Canis lupus familiaris: one gene and its partners. The main gene of each other region encodes a partner of the protein of the gene in region 3 in a complex. Links are inferred from orthologs where the notes say so. Each region holds a gene or a part of one and is shown on either strand. Other genes may lie near its edges. The genes, in order: INSR, HRAS and GRB14.

Evidence for each region.
Region 1: the proteins of GRB14 (region 3) and INSR are in contact, whole or in part, in a crystal structure (PDB 2AUH), measured with the Homo sapiens proteins. The link is inferred for Canis lupus familiaris from reciprocal best matches to the Homo sapiens genes GRB14 and INSR. Residues at the interface, in NP_004481.2 of Homo sapiens: Glu373, Asn374, Ser375, Leu376, Val377, Ala378, Met379, Asp380, Phe381, Ser382, Ser386, Val388, Ile389, Glu394, Val398, Ala399, Glu401, Glu402, Gly403, Leu404, Trp406, Arg407; in NP_000199.2 of Homo sapiens: Leu1065, Arg1066, Ile1069, Glu1070, Lys1112, Arg1116, Arg1163, Met1180, Arg1182, Tyr1190, Lys1192, Gly1193, Gly1194, Lys1195, Gly1196, Leu1197, Leu1198, Pro1199, Val1200, Trp1202, Ser1207, Leu1208, Lys1209, Asp1210, Gly1211, Gln1235, Asn1242, Glu1243, Leu1246.
Region 2: the proteins of GRB14 (region 3) and HRAS are in contact, whole or in part, in a crystal structure (PDB 4K81), measured with the Homo sapiens proteins. The link is inferred for Canis lupus familiaris from reciprocal best matches to the Homo sapiens genes GRB14 and HRAS. Residues at the interface, in NP_004481.2 of Homo sapiens: Val109, Lys111, Asp116, Glu117, Thr118, Ser119, Arg120, Ala121, Leu122, Asp123, Lys140, His142; in NP_001123914.1 of Homo sapiens: Glu31, Asp33, Pro34, Ile36, Glu37, Asp38, Ser39, Tyr40, Arg41, Tyr64, Met67.

What each region holds. Positions count from the first base shown.
Region 1 is NC_049241.1:52,555,874-52,563,473, reverse strand, and holds the start of INSR (insulin receptor), read left to right. Parts: upstream 1-3,190; 5' UTR 3,191-3,270; intron 3,271-7,600. UniProt on the Homo sapiens protein: Receptor tyrosine kinase which mediates the pleiotropic actions of insulin.
Region 2 is NC_049239.1:25,991,840-25,999,266, forward strand, and holds HRAS (GTPase HRas), read right to left. Parts: upstream 4,100-7,427; 5' UTR 4,045-4,099; coding exon 3,934-4,044; intron 3,756-3,933; coding exon 3,577-3,755; intron 3,454-3,576; coding exon 3,294-3,453; intron 3,207-3,293; exon of another isoform or gene 3,199-3,206; coding exon of another isoform or gene 3,136-3,198; exon of another isoform or gene 2,659-3,135; coding exon 2,539-2,658; 3' UTR 2,226-2,538; downstream 1-2,225. UniProt on the Homo sapiens protein: Involved in the activation of Ras protein signal transduction. Ras proteins bind GDP/GTP and possess intrinsic GTPase activity.
Region 3 is NC_049257.1:10,012,459-10,019,889, reverse strand, and holds part of GRB14 (growth factor receptor-bound protein 14), read left to right. Parts: intron 1-4,144; coding exon 4,145-4,261; intron 4,262-4,351; coding exon 4,352-4,424; intron 4,425-4,571; coding exon 4,572-4,659; intron 4,660-6,771; coding exon 6,772-6,865; intron 6,866-7,431. UniProt on the Homo sapiens protein: Adapter protein which modulates coupling of cell surface receptor kinases with specific signaling pathways. Binds to, and suppresses signals from, the activated insulin receptor (INSR). Potent inhibitor of insulin-stimulated MAPK3 phosphorylation.

The DNA of each region.
Region 1 (7,600 bases), on a different chromosome or scaffold from region 3:
GATTTGAAAGCCGGTTGCAGACATTCTGCCCTTTATCCCTCCATATTTCATTCAGTATGTAGTTCCTAAAACCAAAGACGTTCTCTCACACCATCTCTGCACGACGATCAAATTACTATTGATTCAATACTAATTCAATACTCTAGTAATATAATTGATGGACCTTTTAAGTCTTCCCCAATTGTCCCGGAAATGTCTTACACGGCAAAAGGAAATCCAGAAGCAACTTTGATCACTTAATTTAAGGTGATGTCCGCCAGCTTTCTCCTCTAGGAAGCTACTGTTTTTCCTTTCCTTTATTATGAGCAAGTATCTTGCAGAGAGATACTTGGAGACCGTGGAAATATTTGCTTCTTAAAAGTCCAACCGTTAGTTTTGGCATGCACAGAGGGTTCTCGCCCGAATCAATCAGTCAGAGATTGCCAAATGGTGGTGTCTCTGCTTCTGTTCCAATGATTTTAATAAAAGGCAAGGGTTGACTTTCAATTTTTAGATGGCTGTTTTTTTGGAGGGCTTGGAGGGTTTTGCGAAAGAAACAGTGAGTGGTTTCAGGAAGTGGTGGTGTCTTCATTTTCAGGTCACAACTGAAATGATCAGTCGAAATGATTCTTTCGACTTAGGTCCAGCACGCAAGTCCTTGTCCTGAAGGATTTCCAGAGGACAGCGTGTTTCCTTCCGCGTGGTTTTCAGCACACGCTTCCTGCCTGGGAATGTGGTGATTTTGGGGGCTCCCACGGGTCAGAGGGAAGCCCACAGCTCTGGACAGGTTTGCACAAGAAGGAAGGGGAACAACATTTATTGAACCTACAATTCTTGATACTCTGGGACTGCAGCTACTCTGTGTTCTCTCTGGGTCTATGTTTGCCCCATCGCAGATATTATTGGAAAGAAAATCAAATTATGTCAGCCCTTTTGTGTACACCTTCTAGTAGCTTCCCATTGCTTTTAGGATGAAGGTGTTTTGGGAGAGGGCTTAACATGATCTATCCAAGGCTCTTCCCCCTTCTAATTCTGCCTTTGAGTCCACCTTTGCTTGCTTGACCTCCCTCTAGGCTCCAGCTCCAGTGCCTGGGTCAGTTGGGGGAACACCTGCCTGTCCACCTCTGGGCCCCTGCTCATGCTGGGCTCCCAGCCTGTAACACTTCCCTCCTGTCTTCCTTGGCTGACTCCTCCTCATCTCCAGATTTCAGCTTCAACTCACCTCCTTGGGAGGATCCTTTCCCTACGCCCCACCCCCACCCCACATTAGGCCCCAGGATTGTTTAATCAAGGATCCCCTCTCTCGCCAGACTGTGAGGTCTACAGGGAAACTGAGTGTGTTTATTTTGCTCACTGTAAATCCTCATTACTTATTATTGCATGTTGGTTCTTCCATTCAACAAATATTTATTAAGCAACAGATATATCAGGCGCTGGGTGTAAAATAGTGAAGAATTTCTGCTTCATGGAGTGGGGAGACCATACACAAAAAACCCAAAGAATTTCAGGACAAACTAGAGTGATGTAAATAACAGGGACCAGAACAAAGGGATGGGGGGGGGGGGGAGGCGGCGTTTGCAAAGTGTGATCAGGGAAGGCTCACTGGGGCACCGAGGGGCAGCCAGCCACTGGAGGGACAGGCGGAGGGAACAGCCAGAGTGAAAGCCAGGAGGCAGGATTAGGTTTGGTGCCTTAGAGGAACAGTGGGCTCAGCTCCTGGCTAACTAATATTTGCGTAATGGACCAGGGGGAAGAATGAGCGCCCTCTGCCTAGAATTGTGCCGGGCGCTTTCTTATGCTTTATTGCTCTTGCACCTCGTCAAATCGGACCGGCAGGGATTGTTACAGGCATTATAGAGCCGAGGCCAACCCAGCCAGAGAGTAAAGTCCCACGTCCAAGGCCACACAGGAAGTGAGGGGAGGGGGAGCCAGATTCCACTCGGTGCTGGCTTTCTATACCTAAGGCTCCTTCCCCCAGCTCAGGAAGGTGGCTTGGCTGCTATGGTGCCCTATTCGTGAATGACACTTGCTGGACATTCAGACACACACAGGGACTGTGGGTCTGTGTGTTGAAAACGGGGTGTGTCCACCTGCGCTGGAACCCGGCTCCGTGGGGCCTGGTTCGCTCTTCTGCGAGGTTCTGCACGTTGTCCCAGGTGTCTCTTCTCCGACTTGCACCCCAGGCCGCGCCTGAGGCCCCCCTCCCTCGCCCCTGCCACGGAGCACACGGAGCGCCCTGGGCGCGCGTGCACGTGGCCGTCCGCAGGGCCCCGGGCGCGGGGCGGGGGCGCCCTCGCGTCTAGTCCGAGACGCGCTGGCAGGACTGGGACGAGGGTGACGCGAGTGCAACATTTACGGGAGTACCAGAAACCCCAGGGACCAAGATAAACAGCGTTTTAATGAAATCTTAAAAAAAAAAAAAAAAAATCAAACCGAACCTCCCAAAGTCCACAAGGGAAACGAAATAGCGAAAAATGTTACGGAAGGGATCCGTCCGGATGGGTCGGCATCGGGGGCGCCCCCGAGGCCCGAGACGCCGGGGCGCGGGGCGCGGGGGGCGGGGTGCGGGCGCCTCCAGCGCGGGGGGCCCAGGCGAGGGCGGCGGGCGGGGCGGCGCCTCCCCGCGGCCGTCCTGCCTCCCCCTCCCGGGCCTCTCCCGGGCCTCTCCCGGGCGCCGAGTCCCTTCCGAGTCTCGATCCGCGCCGCCTTTTCCCGCGACCCGCGCGGGGCCCAGCTGACGGGCCGCGTTGTTTACGGGCCGAGCAGCCCTCGCTCCCGCCGCCCGCCCGCCGCTCGCCAGCCCAGGTGCCCGCCCGTCCGCGCGTCTGTCCGTCCGCGCGTCCGTCTGTCTCGGCGTCCGCAGATCGCGGCCCAGCGCGCTCGGGGCGGAGAGCCGGGCGGCCGGGGCGCAGCGAGGGGCTCCGGGCCCTGAGATCGCGGGACGGGCCCCGGGCCGCAGGGGTCCGGGTCGGGGCCGCCGCCGCCGCCGCCGCCGCCGCCGCCGCCGCCGCCGCCGCCGCCGCGGGATCTGCAGCGGCCGAGGCCCCGCGCCCCTCGGGGGCCGAGTGGGGGCCCTCCCGGGCGGGGCCGCGGGCGCGGAGAGGAGGGCGCGCGCCCCGCGCCGCAGAGCATGACCCCCGCGGGCCGGCGCCGCGCGCTCTGAGCCGCCGGGACCCCGCGCTCCCGCAGCCATGGGCGCCCGGGCCGGGCGGGGGGCGGCCGCCGCGCCGCTGCTGCTGGCGGTGGCCGCGCTGCTGCTGGGTGCCGCGGGCCACCTGTACCCCGGAGAGGGTGAGTCCGGGGGCCCCGGAGGGCGGCGGGCGGGCGCGTGGGGGGCCACCGGGGACCCCGCGCCCTCCCCGGCGCGTGTGGGGGCGCGGGCGGCCGCGGCGGGAAGCCGCTGACCTTGGCCTTTGCCCGCCTGGGCTCGCGGTTCTGCGCCCCGCGTGCGGGCCCCGGCCCCGAGGAACCTTGCCCCAGTGCCCGCCCCGCCGCGGGCGCCCCTCCCGACGCGCCTCGCACCCGTGCCCGGCCCTCTCCAAGCCCCGCTCGCCCGGGAGACGCGACCCGGGTGCCCGCTGGGTCCCCGGGTCCGGGCGACCTGGGGGCACCGCATGCCGCGGGCGCACGGGGTCCCTCGGGGTCTCTGCGGATGGGCGCCCCAGGCGGGGCACTGCAGAATCCCACCCCTCTGCTTGGACCTAGGCCGGTGGCTACCCGGACTTCAGATCCATGTTTACACTTTTGGGTTCTGTTTCCAGATGTCCGGAGGCAAACTCTAGCGCCTTGGCAACAGGGCCTTTGTTGTAGCAGAAGGGGGCGGGGGGGGGGGTGTTGTCTTTATTATGATTATTATAGTTAGGGTCACCGAATGCCCCGGACTGATCTCTCTGGACCTTCACAGTGGCCTCCGGAGGTCCATACGCGTTACCCATTTCATAGAGGAGTAAATTGAGGCTGAGGTTAGGAGACGGTTCGATTTGCCCTAAAGTCAGGGCCAGAGGGAGGACTCTAACCTCTCTGTGTGGTGCCCTGGGGAGGCTCTGGACTGCTGCATGTCCTATGTCTCCCCATAACCCCCACACCCCCCCCTCCAGCTCTGCCTTTCACAAGGGCTCTTTTACCTGCCAGTCCAGGGAGGTCTCTAACCTCAGGAGAGGCTCTCACACCCCCTAGCCCCATGGACTTCCCTCCCCAGCCTCCCTGCGCTGGCAGCAGATGGAGGCAAACCCCAACTCCAGCATCGGCCTTGGGCTTGGTAGCCGTCCTTTCTGCTTGTGGGGCAAGAAATGAAGAACCTTTAAGAGAACATGGCTGGAGTTCCCCACTGGTGTTTGAGGCCCCACTTTAAAAATATCTGTTGGGTTACTTTTTCAGAATTGTCCATAAAAGGAAATCAGTCATGGTGAGGAAGGGGTCGGGGAGGGAAGGAAAGCAGCTCCTGAGCTCCCTGATGGGGAATGAGGTCCCTGGCAAAGCACGCACAGGCTCTGGCGTTGACAATCCAGGTTTGCGGAGCTCCTCTCTCAGTTACACCACGGTTCCGAGGCCCAAGTGCTTGGTATACAGCGGGCGCTCAATAAAGGTGGCAGTCGGCTTGAGTTCTTGTTAAGAAACTCCAGACAAATGTTAGGACTAGTCTAGGATTTGTGTATGTATGTATGTGCGTGCGTCTGCACACGTGCATGTGTGTGTGTGGTTCCCTGCTCTTCTGTTCCTTGTAGCTTTGGTAATTTATTGTGGACTTGTGCCTGGGCTTGCAGGGCCCAGGAGGTGGATTTACCGCTTCTTTACATGTTCACAGTTTCCACAGGGGTAGAGGCATATACTTCTTTTGTCCACTGCGATGTTTCCAGAGCCTAGAACAGTGCCTGGCACATAGAAGGTGTTTGGTTAAAATATTTGTTCTTGGTTCAGCTCATATTCTTCGTGTTCTCACCAGTACTCCAAGCTATGGCTTTTTCATTCCTCGGGTAATACCCAACTTAGACATAGTCATAAGAGCAAGCTCTTGGCGGGGGCTTTTCCATGTGCTCCGAATATATAATCTTAGTTAATCCCCACCATGGCCTTGTGGGGTGGGGTTTATTATCATTTTTCCCAGGTGAGGCAGTTTGACTAGGCGGCAGAGCTGCTGAGGACCCTACTTGGCCTGATTTCTTCATAAAAGGTGGCTCTCTTGGGTTTGAGCTTCCCTCCCACCGACCTGTGGTAATGGTTAACAAAATCCTATTGAATAAATGAGATGTGATGCCCCTCAGAGGTTCGGAAACCTCGAGAAACTTTACAGATCATTAATCTCTAATGTCAGCCTGTAGGGCGTTTTGGTTGGGGTGGTGGCGGTGTGATGTTTAAGAAGTGAAGGACTTTCTTAGGGGGGGATGTCCTATGGGATGTGCTACTTTGGCCCGCTCTCCTGTGGAGTCCCTACTGCTCTGCTGAAATGGGTAGTGTCTCCCCCCTCTGTTTCTCCTCGGACTGGCTGGCAGTGGCCTGAGATTACTTGGGGGCATTGCAAAGTTAAAGGATGAAGGCAATGTGGGATTAATTAAAAGAAAAACCTGCGGGGCTTCGGGGGGAGTCCAGCGAGTTGGCTAATTAAGGTGAGAGAGGCTCGCTTCCAGAGCGCCCTGGTTTCTCGGGCACTCCTCATTTCACAAGGGTGGCCTCGGATGTCTCTCTTGTGTGTCCTCTTGTGTGCTTTGGGGGCCCTCGGAGCAGGACTTTTGCCTACTTCCTAACCTCCCTGAGGTTATTCTTAACTTTTGCTTCCCTCCTGGAGCCCTGCCCGCCATCCTTGTCCCACTCACTCATGGAGGTCATTGGGGTGGGGCTCCCTGGGGTCCCCACTGCAGCCCACTCCGTCAGTGACTCAACCTGGATAGAGTAGATCCTCTCAACTTCATCGCTCTTAATATTTGGGTTGAGACAGTTCCCGGTTGTGGGGGGGCTGGCTGTCCTGTGTATTGTGAGGAGTGGAGCCGCATCCCTGGCTTCTCCACCCACAAAATGCCAGTAGCACGTCCCTCCCTCCAGTCATGACAATCAAGAGTGTCTCTGGGCATTGCCAGCCGCCCCAGTTGAGAACAGCCACATTCAGGAAGATAACTTTTTCTTTGTCTAGGACACTTACCCACCTGGGTCCCTGCTCTCTTTGTTCCAGGATCAATACCCCGCCCCTCGACCCCCGGCCCACCACCCGCCTCCAGCCTTCCCCTGCCAAGCCTCCCCGGTGGGCTCTAACCACCCTCCCTCTCACCTCTGGCCCACTGTGCTGCCCGCAGCATCTGGCTAATGTCTCCATCGCTTTGCTTTGCCCATGGCTCTTGTGAAGGTAATCCCTCACCTCCCAAGTGCGTCTCCTGTCGCCTCACCCCAGCTGACCTCTCGGGGCCTGCCACTGTCCACTCCCTCCCCTCGGGGAGGGCAGGAAGGCACGGTTTCCTGCAGAGTTTTCACCTGCACCTGGCTCTCTCTCCATCCTCTCTGCTCCCTTCCCTGGGCTCAGATGTTAGCTCTTTCTTCCTAGAGGGCCAATCCCTACTGCCATCCACTCTCAGCCCAGTTGTGAATTTACGTAGTCAGACTCCTTCATCTAGAACAGGGGCTATCAAACTGTGGCCCACAGGCCAACTCCCGCCTGCCCACACCTGGTTTTGTGAATAAAGTTTTATTGGCATCATCTTAACAGTTGCTTTTGTGCCCTAATGGCAGAGTTGAGTAGTTGCAATTGCATGGCCCATAGAAATGTGTATATCTTGGCCCTTCTCGGGGAGAGTTTTGGGACTCCTGATTTATGACAGACTCTTTGAGGATCATGATGACATGCCTAATCGCTTGCGTGGCCCCTGGTATGACATGAGTGCATCACGAATGCTTGGGGATGCTGTGGCGTGTTCCCCTTTACAGAGACATGTACGCTCTCTGAACATATGGGTTCCAACGGGGAGAAAATACCATGATGTCCCCTCCTTAGCTGTGTCTATGGTATCAAGATTTATTTATTTGCACAGTCATCTTGGCGTTGAATGAGGATCCCTCGCTGTCGGCTTTGTGTCTAGAACTCAAAAGAAAGTGGTGTCTGCTGTGCGATTTTCTTTCAAGACCCCTGGTGTTACTTTCTATTAAGAGTACATACATTAGGGGCGCCTGGGTGGTTCAGTCCATTAAGCTTCTGCCCTCGGTTCAGGTCATGATCCCACTGTCCTGGGATTGAGCTCCGCTTCTGCTCTGCGGGGAGCCTGCTTCTCCCTCTCCCTCTGCCTGCTGTTCTGCCTGCCTGTGCTCTCTCCCTATTAAATAAATAAAGTCCTAAAAAAGAATACATCCGTGAGGGGCGCCTAGGTGGCTCAGTCAGTTGAGGGTCAGACTCTTGATTTGCTCAGAGCATCATCTCAGGGTCGTGAGATCGAGCCTCGGTGCGGGCTCCCTGCTCAGCGGGTAGTCTGCTTGAGATTCTTTCCTTCTCCCCCTGCCCCCCTCCTCGCTGCATATGCATATCTGCTCTCTCTCTCTCTCTCTCTAAAATAAATAAATCTTCTAAAAAAAAAAAAGAATACATATGTTGGCTTATGTTTTGCAACGGGACCCTATTTATGGGTTTTTAATTAAAATAACAAGT
Region 2 (7,427 bases), on a different chromosome or scaffold from region 3:
CCTACACCATCCTCAAGGTGCACACAAGTAAGTGAGCCCCTGGGAGCCCAGAGGTGGGGAGGGGGCAGGGGCGGTGACCCTGTGCTCTGAGCAGCACCCAGACCTGGGGCGGGGGGGACGGCGGGGCAGGCGGGTGCAGTGGGGCTCCCTGAGAGGAGCAGCGGGCAGGGGCCACCCCGGCCAGCGCACTGCCCACGGCGCTCCTGGACACAGCGGGACCCCAGCCGCTGGACTGGGGGCACTAGGGGCCCCAGGGCAGGGCCTTCTGGGTCTGACTCTCACCCACTGCCCAGAGAGCCTCCTGAAGCTGCCCCTGGAAGGGCTCCGGGAGTTCCTCCAGGACTCTCCGGCCCAGCCCTGGGCCCTGGAGGACGAGGCGGTGCTCAGACACCTTCGGGCCTCCATGACCCAGCTCCGGAGGATGCGGTGCGACCTGCCCCCACCCAGGTGGGCTCAGGGCCCCGGCCCCTCCCGACTCGGCCTGCTGGGGCCACCCAAAGGGGACAGAGCCCCCGTCCTCATCTCTGGGGCTCTCCTCTTCTGCTCTAGCCTTGGGGACTCCAGGCTAGGGCTGGGCGGGCAGGCACCCACTGCAGGGCCCGGGCACCAGTGTGGGGGGCTGAGCACAGGGTCAGGCGGGGGGGCCACAAGGGAGCTGAGGACCCCCGGGGCCCCCAGCGGGGAACACATAGCCTGCTGGAGACGCTGACCCCGTCAGCCTCTTTCCAGCGGGACCTGGAGTTCCCCACGAGGCCCCTCGGCCTGAAGCGAGTGTCCCCGGCGCCCAGGCCTCTCCTCCCTTCTCCGGCCTCTGAGCCACCGCCCAGGGTGGAGGAGCAGGCCTCCCCGGGCCCAGCCACCCAGCCTGAGCCGCCCGGACCCCCTCCCAGCCAGGCCATCGTCCAACTTCCCCCCCAGCGATGGAACTCCCTCCCCACCCTCCCAGTGTAACAAGACGGTGCGGGCAGGTGGCCCCCGGACACGGTGGGCTTGAAGACAAAAAACGGGGTCCCCTTCCCTTCGGCACCTGCCTGGGCCACCCCAGAGGCCCCGCGACGGACCAGGCCCTGGAGCACCCCCGGGACTCCCATCACGGGGTCCCCCCAGCCCCCTAGGGACGACGCTGTCGGGCCCAGGACACCCTTCCTGCCCCGCGGCCACTGCAGCTCATGCCTCTCGCTGGGCAGTGACGGGCACAGCCAGGGCAGAGCCAGGGCGGCGCTGAGCCCGCTGCCCCGAGGCCCCGCACAGGCCCGGGACCCTCTGCCCTCTGCGTCCACAGGGCAGCTCAATGCTCGCGGGCAGAGCGTGGTGGTGAGTGCGGGGGCCCAGAGGCTCTGGCCCGCCGTCACCGTGCCCTGCCTCATCTTGCTGTCCCTCCCGGAGGGCGGCACCCCCCGCACAGGACACCAACCCCTGACCCAGAGGGACCTGGGCTGGCCTGGCCCCAGGCTCTGTGGGGGCAGGGGCGACTCGAGAACTGCCCCCCAGGCCCAGCACTAATGGGATCCAGTGCTCCGGGGCCCTGGCCAGGCCTGCGTTCTGGCCCCGGGCTGAGCGAGCCCTCTCAGAGCCGGATGTGGCCTCCTGGGCCCTGGGCGTGCCCCACAGATCCAGGTCACTGACCTAGGGCAGCCCTGGGGATCCCGGGACACCCCAGGGCAGGGCAGCAGGGGCAGGCCCGTGGGCCCCACCCGCACCCACACCAGGAGGCAGGCTCCTCCACGTGCTGGGGCTCCAGCAGTCAGTCACCCGGCCCCAGTGGGCCCGAGGCCGGGGTCCAGCTGCCCTGCGGGGACCTAGAGCAGGAGCCCATGGGCCGCAGGTCCAGGCCAGCTCTGCTGTCCCCAGAACCGCCTCTCAACACCCCAACCTCAGGACACACACCCCCACCCGGAGTCCGCACAGGCTCCAAAGTGGGCGACTCCAGCACCCGTACCCCCGTGGGATTCCCGCTTTCCTCTAAGGACAGGAAGGTCTCCCAGGGGAAGGCGCACACCCTCGGCTCTGAGCCCGTTTGCTGTTGCAAGTTCAATAAGGTGTTGTGTGAAAATGCACGGCCGGCTCGTTTCTGCGTCTCCCGGAGCTCTGTGCACGGGGTGTGGAGACACCCCCAGAGAGGAGGAGGGGGGACCTCCCGGCCCCGACCAGCCCCTGCAGGGGCGCCGCCAGGCACACACAGCTGACGTCCCCACGTGCCTTGCAGGTGCGGCCATACGCCAGGGTCAAGACCATCAAATAATTTACTGCGACTCAGCCTTTGCCCCGCGGGCAAGGACGGGACTGGGGGAGAGTGACAGCCGGGGGGGCCCGTGGCCTCAGTTCACGACAGTCTGTGCAAAGCGCCCTGGGAGGTCCGTGCTCCCCCTGTCCAGGGGGCCTGGGCTGGCCGGGCCCCGGGGGCGCTTCCTTCCTTCCTCGCCCTCCTCCTTCCTCCTTCCGCGCCTCCTCCCAGCTTCCGGCACCTCCTCGCCCCGAGCCTGTGCGCCTGGGGCACAGAGGACCAGCGGGGCTGCCAACGTGGCCCTGGAGGGGACGTCAGGACAGCAGGCACTTGCAGCTCATGCAGCCTGGGCCTCCCTCGTCGGGCGGGCTCAGCTTGCGCACCTTGTGCTGTCGAATCTCTCGCACCAGCGTGTAGAAGGCATCCTCCACGCCCTGGGAAGACGGGGCTGGCTGAGCGTGCGGCTCGGCCCGGGGGCCTGGCAGCGCAGGGGACCGAGGGACCCCAGCGTCAAGCTCATGCATCATCCCAGCTCCCCCTGGCCTCTCCCCACCCCGCCCCCACACAGGCAGCCCCAGGGCTCCCCCCATCAGGCGGCTTGGCCCTCAGGAGCTCCCCCACAGGGCAGCCCCGAGGTCTGGCTCCCAGCTCTAACATCCAGGGTCCCGCTCCTGTCTGACCTACCACCCTGGTCCCCCACAGCCCATTAAAGAGGGCAGGGCCTACACGGGCCCATGGGGCTTTCTGCGGGCAGGGGCCAGGGCCCCAGGGTCACCACTCGGCCTGGCTCAGGGCAGCTCTCTCTGGGGACCTCTGCCTCTCCCTGGAGCTGTGTCAGCCCAAACCCTGGGCCCCGGCCTCCCTCGCTGCCCTGCCGTCCGGGGACACTTACAGCGCTAGGGGCCGCTGGGTCACGGGGGTCCCGGAGGGTCCCAGAGGGTCCCGGAGCTGGAGCCAGAGCCAGACCGGCTGCCCTGTGTCGGGGGAGAGGGGGCAATAAGCACTGCTCCCTGGCAGGGGCGGGGCGGGGCGGGTCCCCAGCTAGCTGCGGGGTGGGGAGCCGGCTCACCTGGCGCGTCTTGGCTGACGTCTCGATGTAGGGGATGCCGTAGCTGCGGGCGAGGTCCTGCGCCTGCCGGGACTCCACGGTGCGAGCAGCCAGGTCACACTTGTTCCCCACCAGCACCATGGGCACGTCGTCAGAGTCCTTCACTCGCTTGATCTGCTCCCTACAAGAAGGAAGGTGGGAGCCAGTCGGTAGGCTGCAGGCACGGCTGCATCCGAGACCCTGACAGAGAAACGCGATGAGAGGCAGAGGAACAGGTGGCTCTGAGGGCCGGCCGGAGGCTCACCTGTACTGGTGGATGTCCTCAAAGGACTTGGTGTTGTTGATGGCAAATACACAGAGAAAGCCCTCCCCCGTGCGCATGTACTGGTCCCGCATGGCGCTGTACTCCTCCTGGCCCGCTGTGTCCAGGATGTCCAGCAGGCACGTCTCCCCGTCGATGACCACTTGCTTCCGATAGGAGTCCTGCGGCAGGCCAGTGCTTCAGAACGCCCAGCCCCACACCTCCGAGGACGGGGCCACCCAGCCACCAGCCCCTCCTAGGTCCCCAGGTGCCACCCCCAGGTCCCACGAGCAGGGGCCGCCCTCCTGCGGAGCCCACAGCAGACATGCCCACAGCAGGCTCAGGGCTGGGCGAGCTCACCTCGATGGTGGGGTCGTACTCATCCACGAAGTGGTTCTGGATGAGCTGGATGGTCAGGGCGCTCTTGCCCACGCCTCCAGCGCCCACCACCACCAGCTTATACTCCGTCATGGCTCCTCACGGGACGCAGCACAGGACGCCAACGAGGTCTCCTGTCCCACCTGCTGAGGAAGCTGCTCTCAGCCCTGAGCCAGCCCCGTGGGGCAGACCACCCCGGCCCCGACCCGGTCCCCAGGCCCCACACAACCAGGGAACCGGGCGCAGCCGCCCACCTGTGGCACCTCCAGCGGGGGGGGCGGCGGGGGGGGGGGGGTAGGCACCTCGCCGGCGCTCATGGCTGCGAGAGAGCAGGGAGAGCTGACAGCTGAGAGCATCTCCCAACCACGCACCCAAATTAGAAGTTGCTGGGTAGGCAGAAAGCGTGCACTGGAGGGACCCGGAGGCCCTGCAGGCTGAGATTACCGCCCCTCCCCGCAGAAACAGGTCCTGCCACAGCGGAGTGCAGCAGCGTGCCCGGGCAGGCCAGAGCCCCGCCGCGCCTCGCTGCACCGGACTAGCATCTGCGGAGCGCCCGCGGCCGCCAGCTGCTGCTCCGGGGGCGAGGCCCGGGCCCTCCTGTCCCGGGGGGAGCCCCAGGCCCGCGGCCGCTCGAGCTTCGCAGGAGAGCAGCGGCGGGCTGCGGGGATGGCGGCCCCGGGAGCAGGCCGGCGGGGTAGGCGCGGGGACGGCGCTGGGCCGCGGCCTCCGGCCCGGCTCCCGGTCTGGGAGGTTTCGGGACGCGGTGCCCGGGGCTCCGGTGCGAACGCCCGGCTCGCCCGCTGTGCATCGCGGAGGCCGCCCGCCGCCCGGGCCTCGGGGGCGCGCCTGGCGACCTGGGGGCCCCGCACGCGGCCCGCGGAGGAGAGGGCGCGGACGCCGCCGCCCGGGGCGCCCCCGCACCCCGCACCTCGCACCCCGCACCCGCCGCAGCGCCCGCCCGCGGCTCACCTGCGCCCCCGCGCGCCCCGCCGCCGCCGCCGCCTCCACCGCCCGGCGCCGCAGCCCCGGCCGCCCCCGCCCCGCCCCGCCGCCCGCCGCCCCCGCCGCACTCACCGCTCACTGGCGCGACTGCCCCCGGGGCCGGGGCCGGGGCCGGGGCGGGGGCGGGGAAGGGGGCCGGGGCCGGGGCGCGCGGCTCGCCCAGCGCATGGGCTCCGTCCGCGGAGGGTGCGGCTCGGGCTGCGGGCTGCGGGCGCGGGCGGGCGGACACTCGGGGGGGAGGGCGCGCACGCCCCGCCCCGCGCCCGTCCGTCACGCAGGCGCGGCTCGCCATTGGCCGCGGCCGTCGGGCCACGCCCCCGCCCCGCCCCGGCCCGCCCCGCCCCGCGCCGGTTGGCCGGCCCGCCCGCCCGTCACGGGCCGCGGCCGGGCGGGGCTTCCGGGAAGCGGCGCGGAGGGCGGTGCCCGGCCCCGGAGGCCCTCGTGGGCCGCGGCCTGGGGGGGCTGGGCTGCGCCCGCGGGCGCTCGGCGGGAGCGCGAGAGGCGCGGGCCGGGGCGGCGGCCTCCGCGGGGAGCTGCCCGACAGGACCGCGGGCGGCGGTGCACCGGGGCGGGGGCGCTGCAGACCGGCGGGAGCCCGTGTCCCGCGGTGGGGGGCTCCCTGCGCCGCGAGGCCCAGCGGAGGGGTCAGGCCGGGAGACGAGGCTCGAGGAGGGTCAGGGTCGGCGCGCCGGGCGGACGGCCGGGACGGGAGGCGGGCGCCGGGGCAGGCCGGGCCGCGCCCCGAGCTCTGGGGCCTCATGGCCGGGGCTCGGTGCCCTACACCCCCGTTCCCATCAGGTGGCTCCGGAACGGGCGCCTGGCACCTCGGCTTCGTCGTGCGCGCGGCACCCGGGGCGCCCAGGCCACAAGGGGCAGCGCGGCGCGGAGCATCGTTTGATCCCGCCCCAGGGGTCTCGCTGGGCCGCAGCCTCGCCCCTCTCCTCAGCCTCCCCCTGCAGGCCGGCCCGCCCAGCCCCCTAGCCCGGAGGCTCCGGCCCTGCAGACGCTTGCGCGGGGCCCAGTTAACGATGGGCCCTCTGCAAACCAGCCCGAAAGCTGCCCGAGGGCTGCGTGCCGACGGCTCCCCCATCCGGAGCGCGAACACGCACACCCCGCATCTTTTCCAGACTTTCAAAAAAGACGTGGTTTCGACATTTTATTTTAAATTTCAAAGTAGTGCATCAACACACCGTGCTTGTTTACAAAAAGGAAGAACGGTGCAGCCCGCAGGAGGCCCAGGCTGGCCCCGCTCTGGCGGCCCTGCCCGCCCTCCCGTCCTGCCCCCTCCGGTGCCGGCGCGCGCTGTTCTCGTGGAGCCCCTCCCACTGCAGGCCGTGACCTTGGCGGGCCCCTCGGGGGGGGGGGGGCTGCCCCGCCCGCACACATCGCCTACAGCACGTGCCGAGGCCGTGGCCGGTTGGCCGGCCCGTGCACTGCGCGGTGGCTAGGACAGAGCCCGGCGCCCGCTGACGCGCACAGACGCGGAGTCAAGGAGCGGCAGTGAAAGCGAGTGGCGGCGTCCCCCGAGAGCGCGGACACCCCAAACCCCTCCCGGTGTCCAGGTCTGCATTTCCCTCGTCTTCGGGGGCGCTTTCCTTTTGTTTTGGCATCGCCACCCTTAGAGGAGGGGGTCCCTCCCGCAGGGCCAGGGCCGGGAAAGGTGGGCGCTGGGCTCCGCCTGATAACCGCCTTCGCGGGCGCTGACACCCGGCCGGTCCGCGCTGGTACCCCGCCCGGTGGGGCCTCACCTCCGCCCCGGCTCCCTCCCAGCCCACGGGAGCCCACGACGTGGGGCCCTACCCTCCGGGCCCCGAATGCGCCCGCGGTCGCCCCGCCCCCGGCCTGCCCTAGCAGCCGTTGCTAAGGGGCGTGGCTCGACCGCGGAGCCTCGGAGAGTCCCGCGGGCTCATGAATATTTGAGCATTCAAATAATGCCCCGGCCCCGTTGCCATGGCGCCCAGGGCCGCAACCCCGCCACCGGAAGAACGACCCCGAGTCGGAAGGCGCGCCCCGCGGCGGAGGGCGCCCGGCCCGTGGCACCGAGACCGACCCCTTTGGTGAGAGCCCAGCACACCTTTGGGCCTGGGGCCTCAGGCCTCGCTGCACCTCCCCCGTGCCTGGGGGGAAACTGAGGCCGATGGCTGCTCCAGGATGAAGCAGCAAAGCCAGTGGGGGCTCAGCGGTACCCCCAGATGTCCAATCTGGTCTCCAGGGGCTCAGCCCACGACCGGTAGCCGGGCTCCGAAGAGTTCCCAGGCCCCAGGGTAGGAGGGACCCCAGGCTCTGCCCCTGCAGGAGAGGAGGAGGTGGCGACCCAGACTCCCTTAGTGGGGACCTAGGAGAGACTAGGCCCTGCCCGCAGCGCCCCTCCCTCTGCAGCGAAGGGGGGAGGCGTGGAGTGGACCCAGATTGCTGCTGAGCCAGGCCAAGGGCTGGCATTAGCCTGGGCCACGGAGGCAGAGAGGCCACCCGAG
Region 3 (7,431 bases):
AAGAAACTAAAGACTGGAAAGAATTTTTATAAAAGCAGTTGCTTTAGGTGAGTATTTTTATAAATTGTCAGCTTACCTTTATCTTTCAATCCACATGTATATAAAGAATAATGGATTTTATTATCTTAATCCTTTTCTAAATCCTTGTAAATTTCTCTTAGAGTCTAATGTTATTAGGATGAGCATGTTAATAGTAGCCATACATTTGGAGGCAGTTGTCTAGAGTCCTCTTAATCATAGGAAAAAAATTGTCATAAACAAAGTACTTTCTAGTCTCATCATATGCATATGAGCATGGTATTATTCTTGCCACTTTCCACTGAAAGTGGTCCTATTGTTGATCGATATCATGGTGTTGGTTAGTGTAACTGCTCGTTCAACACCATGTATAGGGAAAGACACTTGAATGAATCTGGATGGAAGTGGGGATTTTGTAGGGGGCCTGTGTAGTGAGGAGCTGGCTGTCCGGTATAGCAGTTGTCAAGATCAAACAGAACAGCACTTGAGAATTATATCTCCACTCTTCTTAACTTACATGAAGGAAACTGAGATGTTTTGGGAGGTATTTGTGTTTACTTTGATGTCTACACAGAATCCCACCTTTCTAGGTTATCACGGAAGAATCAGTGACCTATATAATGGATGCCAGTGCTCCTCAACTGCCTCTGCTGGTTTTCTTCCAAGCACTATCTTCAGTGAGAATAACTGAGTATACTTTAGTTATATTTTTAAAGGAACAATATTCTTAACTCCTCCAGGGATACATTTTGAGAAGGGAAAGAAGAAAAAAAGTTTTTCCCATACCACATTGCACATCATAGCTAGGTACAGCACATCATGGCCACCCCTATCTGCCTTTGAAATAAGAATCATAAACAGATATTTCAGGAAGCCAAATATCTGGTCCTTTTCAGCACAAAGGAGCGTCTGTTAGGATGGCTGGGATGACTAGAGCATTGGGATGGGGAAAACTAGTCTACTCAAGTCATTATCCTCACTCTTATGCCTGAGCTAGATGTGGAAAACTGCACTTTCTTCCTGTACCTCCTACTCTGTGGTACATAAAAAACCTTAGAGAGGGTCTGCAACTGCTTTTACCGTAAGCTACCTGTGTGACCTTGGTTCAGTCACCAGTGTCCTGCAGTGTAAAACAAGGCGGACAGTTGCTTACGTTCGGGAATTGATTATATCTCTGATGTCCTGTGACTCTGTATGAAGCAGATATCAGGAACTCCTGTGCCCTCTTGCTAAGGACTGTGCTGCAGGCTTATCTACATCTTTCCAATAGGGTGACAGAGAGTGTGTGGCTACTAGTCATCACCTACCTAAACTGCCGGGAAAACATTTTTATGTCCAAAGCTCACTAGGAGTGACTGGATCTGATCTCATAGTGTGGCTTGGATAATCCAAGGTGTAGCCAGACTTCTTCTTTCTTGAAAAAAGAGATGTGTTATTAAAATCATGGACCCTTTTTCAGGGCTTGCCCTGTTTATTCCACCAGAAGAAAGAGCTAGAAAAAGGGACCAATATTTGAGAAATACACTGATCCTGAATGTTATCAACATCACTTTCTTACGTGAAAGAAATTGAGCTGAAAATGACCTTTTGAGTTCAAGTCAGATTCTGCTTCACTTCTATTTCTTTGTCCACCAAAGGTAAACTATTAATTTTTCATCCACCACCTGCTATTCAATAGAAAACATTTGCTATATTCCCGTGTTTTCCCTAGTGTTGTTAATGTAGCAAATGAAAATATTTATTTGTACTGTAGACTCCCTACTAATGTCAAGTAATTAGGGAACACAGGAACTTGTTTTACATTCTATCCTGTTGTAGGAAAACAAAAACAAAAACAACTGGCTATGTTTATTTTTCTTTCCTAACAGTGTTTTTGTGTTATCAGGACCTTGTGATTAGAGCACCCATCTTGGCATGTGAAGTAGAGATATTATAAGGATAAAGCTATCATTATGATTGAGATTAGTTACTCTGTGGTTTGGGCAGGTGGAGGCTTTTCATTAATGTCAGCAAAGCAGAAGTGTACCCGACTGGTCTACAGCCCGGCACAGAAGATCATGGGGTGAGAAGGGCAAACTAAGGTGTGACAGCAGATAGAGATTACAGAGACAGCATCTGTCTGGAAAGAGCAGCTGTCAGTTACAAAGGCTCCTGTAACAAATGAAAGATTGCATGCCGGATCTCTAGAAATAAAGATGAACCGTAATAAGATTGTGGACCACTACAGCAGGGTTTGAAGAGGAAATAGCAAACGCTAACGATGGAGGACGTATGATGCAGTGATAAGTGAGCCCCTGATTTTTTGCATAGACAAGGTTTTCTTTCAAGCATACATTTGGCTACAGGGTTTTAGACCAAGCTAGGAAGGGCTGAAACCACGTGGAGAGCTGTAAAACAGACTTAAGCTGTGAGTCTCCAGGGGCACACTGGCTCTTCCTTTACCATTAGAACTCCATTTTTTGTTTCGCTCCCCTATTAATGAGTAGAGAGTAAGTGTTGAACATTGTCCATGCTGTTTTTGAATTTTTTTTTTTTCCTTTGGGAGAGTGCTAATTCTTACAAACTGAGGCTCTTGACGGGTGATTTGAAAATGTTTTCTTTTTTTAGGATGCATGACTGGGAATGGCACTCTTTTTTAAAAGATGCTTGCAAAGCAGAGCCCTAAACAAAAAAATAAAGTCTAGGTTTGGATATATTCACCTTCAGAGAAGACAAAAAGTAATGGCAGAGGGAAGACTGTATTACCTGTCTAAATTATCTTTGGTGATGTCAGTTCTTTTTCTATCAGATTTATTTTTGTAGCTCTCAGTTTGTCTTTTTTTTTTTTTTTTAAGATTGTACTTATTTATTCATGAGAGACACAGAAAGAGAGAGAGAGAGTTAGAGAGGTAGAGACACAGGCAGAGGGAGAAGCAGGCTCCATGCAGGGAACCTGACGTGGGACTGGATCCCAGGTCTCCAGGATCATGCCCTGGGCTGAAGGTGGCGCTAAACCGCTGAGCCACCCAGGCTGCCCAGCTCTCAGTTTTTCCATGTGTGTCCTCACAAGATGAAAAAAATACTCAGATATTAGATCATAGAATTTTTAATATTATGGAATTAGCAGAGCCATTATTTCACTAAATTTTCTTTTTTTTTAAAGATTTATTTCTGCAAGAGAGAGAATGCATACATGCGCATATGTGCATGAGCTGGGGAGTGCCAGGGGGGAATCTCAAGCAGGCCCACCCCCCCTCCGTGGATTGTGGAGCCCCCACACAGGGCTTCATTTCACAAACCTGACTTCATGACTTGAGCTGAAATCAAGAGTCGGAGCTCAGCTGACTGAGCCACCCAGGCACCCATAAATTTTATTTTCTAAGTAAGATGAACATTGATGTGATACAGTTTTAAAATACATACTGTAGTTTGTTCCATTATGAAATATGAATACTATTTCTTTCTCAAGAAGTGATGTAAGTCAATCTGTTAAAGCTTTTGTCTGTCTTGAGTCTTAGGAAACAGCTGCTTCATCAGTAAATAGAGTTGACATTTTTTAAAAATTGTATTTATTTATTTGAGAGAGAGAGATAAAGAGTAAGAGAGCATGAGTGGGGGCAAGGGAGAGGGAGAAGCAGACTCCCCGCTGAGCAAGAACCTGACATGGGGCTCCATCCCAGGACCTGAGCAGAAGGCAGATGCTTAACCAATTGAGCCACCCAGGTGCCCCCACAGTTGACATTTGAATGATAATGGATGAATCGCAAATCATAGTAGAGACTAGTTCAGAAGTGGTGGGTCTTTTAGCCACAGGAAGAGTTATTTCTTTCTAAATTGGCGTGTTCCCATTTTACTAGAGAATATGAAAAGATAGGGTTCTTCTAAGAGAAAGACATGCTAACTTTGAAAGCTTTTAGTCTCTTTTCTCAACCACTTAATTCAGCCTTGACAAATAACTATGTAACTTATTTAACCAAAATATTTCATAGCACCTTTTTTATCTTAAATATGCACTTTTGATTTTTTAAATTTCCTGCCAGCCACCTTTGGAATCACACATTCTATAGTGGAAATGTATTGCCAGCAGAATACTAAGAGATAATTTTCAAAGATATTTTCATGGTAAAAAATGTGGTTTTTTTTCCAGAGAAGTATATCAGAGAATTCTCTCGTAGCAATGGACTTCTCAGGACAGAAAAGCAGAGTTATAGAAAATCCCACAGAAGCCCTTTCAGTTGCTGTTGAAGAAGGACTCGCTTGGAGGGTACAAATAGCTTCACATTCTTCAAAATATTTATGATTTGAGTCTGTCTCACCCCAAAAATTGAAATTTGCTTCCCCTTTCTTTGTGCAGAAAAAAGGATGTTTACGCCTGGCCACCCACGGTAGCCCAACTGCCTCTTCCCAGAGCTCTGCCACAAACATGGGTATGTCTCTGCCTGTTCACGGGGACTGGATGTCTGGATGGATGGGCACTTTGGTATGGTGACTGGGTGGCTCTGGTGGAAAGTATATGTAATGAAATTGTGAGCATTTCAAACAGAGTTCTGTATTCCTCCACTTTATTTCCTCAGCCATCCACCGGTCCCAGCCATGGTTTCACCACAAAATTTCTAGAGAAGAAGCTCAGCGATTGATTATTCAGCAAGGACTTGTGGATGGGTAAGTTTGATTTTGAATGGTAGTGATTTTGAGTTCTTTTAGAATCAGTAATTACTTAGTTAATACACATAGTTTTGACTTTAGCTTATGATAACGGAAGTGACTTTGTTCTGTATGGGAGCTTACCATTGTATCCTAGCAATACCTACATAATACCTATTACATCCCGTGTGCTTAGTAGTTGTGCATAAATGAACAGATAACTGAATAGGACACTCTGCTGTTAACCAAAAATCACTAATATTGCCCATTCTGTGCCAATAGTAGTATCTCAGCTAAAACTGAACTTGTTTTGAGGTATCCACATTTTGATTTGAACATGGGATTCCAAAGTGTAGTTTGTGTCATGGCATAATCTTACATGTTCTGTATAGTTTTAAGTTTGATACAGACTGCATTCAGTTTAAAACTTTTATGTATATTTTGACTGCTTGTTTTTTTTCTCTCTTACATTCCTATGTTATCTAAATTTTAACAGCTTAAAGTAGTGTAACTATGAAGAGTACTTGAGTCATCTTTTAGTGGGGTACCATCGGAGATATAAGAGAAATGTCAATTGTATTATGAAATATTTACAATCTAAAGAATTTTCTTTTTCTCCAGTTACTCAGTATTTCAAATACTTTCTATAATACTGGCTAAATTCCCTTTTCAAATGCAGTACAAATCAAGGAGGTTGTATTGAGGTTTGGATGAGAAATGAAACCAGCATCAATTTAAACAAGTGGTGATGGGATCTTTTATCTTCAAGGGTTGGCTTAAGATGATGACAAGATTTCAAGGTGATTTAATACTGACATTTGGATAAAAATGCATCTTCACATGGAAGATTATTAATAGCAAGTCAGCATTTCACTAGACTCTAAATAAGAGAAGATTTTAATATACTCTATGTGGAGCACAGTCTTTTTAGATATAAATTTGAACAATCAGCAGAATTACAATCTGATGAGACCAAGAAAAATAAATCACAAAGAATCGTTAAAATGTTTTGGAGGATTATAATCTCCCTACTCTCAGAGCCTGGTTTTTATAAATTGAATAAAATAATTGCATAAAGGATGGTAACATCTTTATTTTTTTTAATATTTTAATAAAAAATTTGAGGAGGGGGACAGGATCCTTTGGAAAGATGTGATGATGCCAGGCAGTCCACTAGATGGTGGTGGTGATCCGCTCGGGAGTGGGGAGGGAATTACAGCTTGTCTTACCAGTGAAACTCCCTTTTGTCCCATCTCCCAGTGATGTAATGTAGGAATCTCACATGGTACAAATGAAATGGATAATCTCATCAGACATCTGTGATGGCTCAAATTCGGCTGCCTCTTTGCCCAGGCACAGTGAGATTAGTATTGGAGCCACCAGGGGGGATCGTTTGCACAATCTGTTTGCCAACAATTAACACAAAGCTGGTTTTGCACTCTATTGCCAGTAAATAAGAATCCACGCCTGGTAGCATTTTTCCCTTAGGCCATCAGGCCATGTCTTATTTTGCTAGCCTGACATTATAGGGGGTTTTCTGCTGCATTCTTCAAGATTAAAATATATATTGTTTGGGGGTTTCTTTTACTTAAAATAGTGTACTCAAACATTTAATAGGTGATCAGGATTGATTTTGTTGAATATATTCATTTCTCAGTTTCTGTTGGATATGTAACAGGAACCAGAATCAAAAGAAAAAGGAGGATCAGTGTTGAAGAGGGAATTTTCTCTTTTCAAGGACTAACATAACCCAGAAGTTAAAGTAATGATATGCTCATGCCCCCCATTCTCTGCAGAAATGTGTTACATGTGAATACCCAATTCATCAATGGAAAAAAAAAATAGCACTAATTATTGATGTCAGCATAGCATTATATTTCCTTATTCTGAGCGAACAGTCTGACAAATGGGCTGTGTATTTATTTTATTAAAATTTAATTAGCACTGATGACAGTTGTATAAGATTATGTTATACCATATTGTTTACCATGTTGGACAATCCCATCATTGAACACACAATAAAGGGAAACTGTGGCTAAATATTTCCTGGATTTATTACATGCTATATTTTTTTCTGAAATACATGAGTAAATATAGAAACATATATTGAAATTCCTTCTCTCTCTTTAGAGTTTTCTTGGTACGGGATAGTCAGAGTAACCCCAAAACTTTCGTACTGTCAATGAGTCATGGACAAAAAATAAAGCATTTTCAAATTATACCAGTAAGTAATTTGTGATTTCACATTCGTGTATTAGAGATGATCTTAATGCATAAGCTTTGGGAAACTTTGGTTTTCTTTGGATCTTTTATTAAATATAACTGGGGTGATTGTGCTTTGACTAGACTTAAGTTTGGCAGAAACGGTTTTATGAGCCTGAATTAATATAAGAAATACAGGAATTGTAAAAATTCAATTTCCCTTTTTCCATGAAATATGATTTACCAATATTGTATAGACCCCATGCCACCTATTGTTAAAAGGCCACTAAAGATTCTTTCTGAATTCTACTACCAGTTCTTTAAAAACCATTATTTTCAAACGCTGTCTTTTTTTTTTAACAAATGACCTAAAATATTCAGTGAGAGACAATTTTTTTTAAAGATTTTATTTATGTATTTGAAAGAGAATGAGCAAGTGAGAGAGCAAGCACGAGCAGAGGGAGAAGCTGAGCAAGAAGCCTGTCGCTGGGCTGGATCCCAGGACTCTGGGATCACAACCCGAGCCAAAGTCAGATGTTTACCAACTGAGCCACCCAGGCAACCCCTTTTCTCTTTTCTTATCCCAAA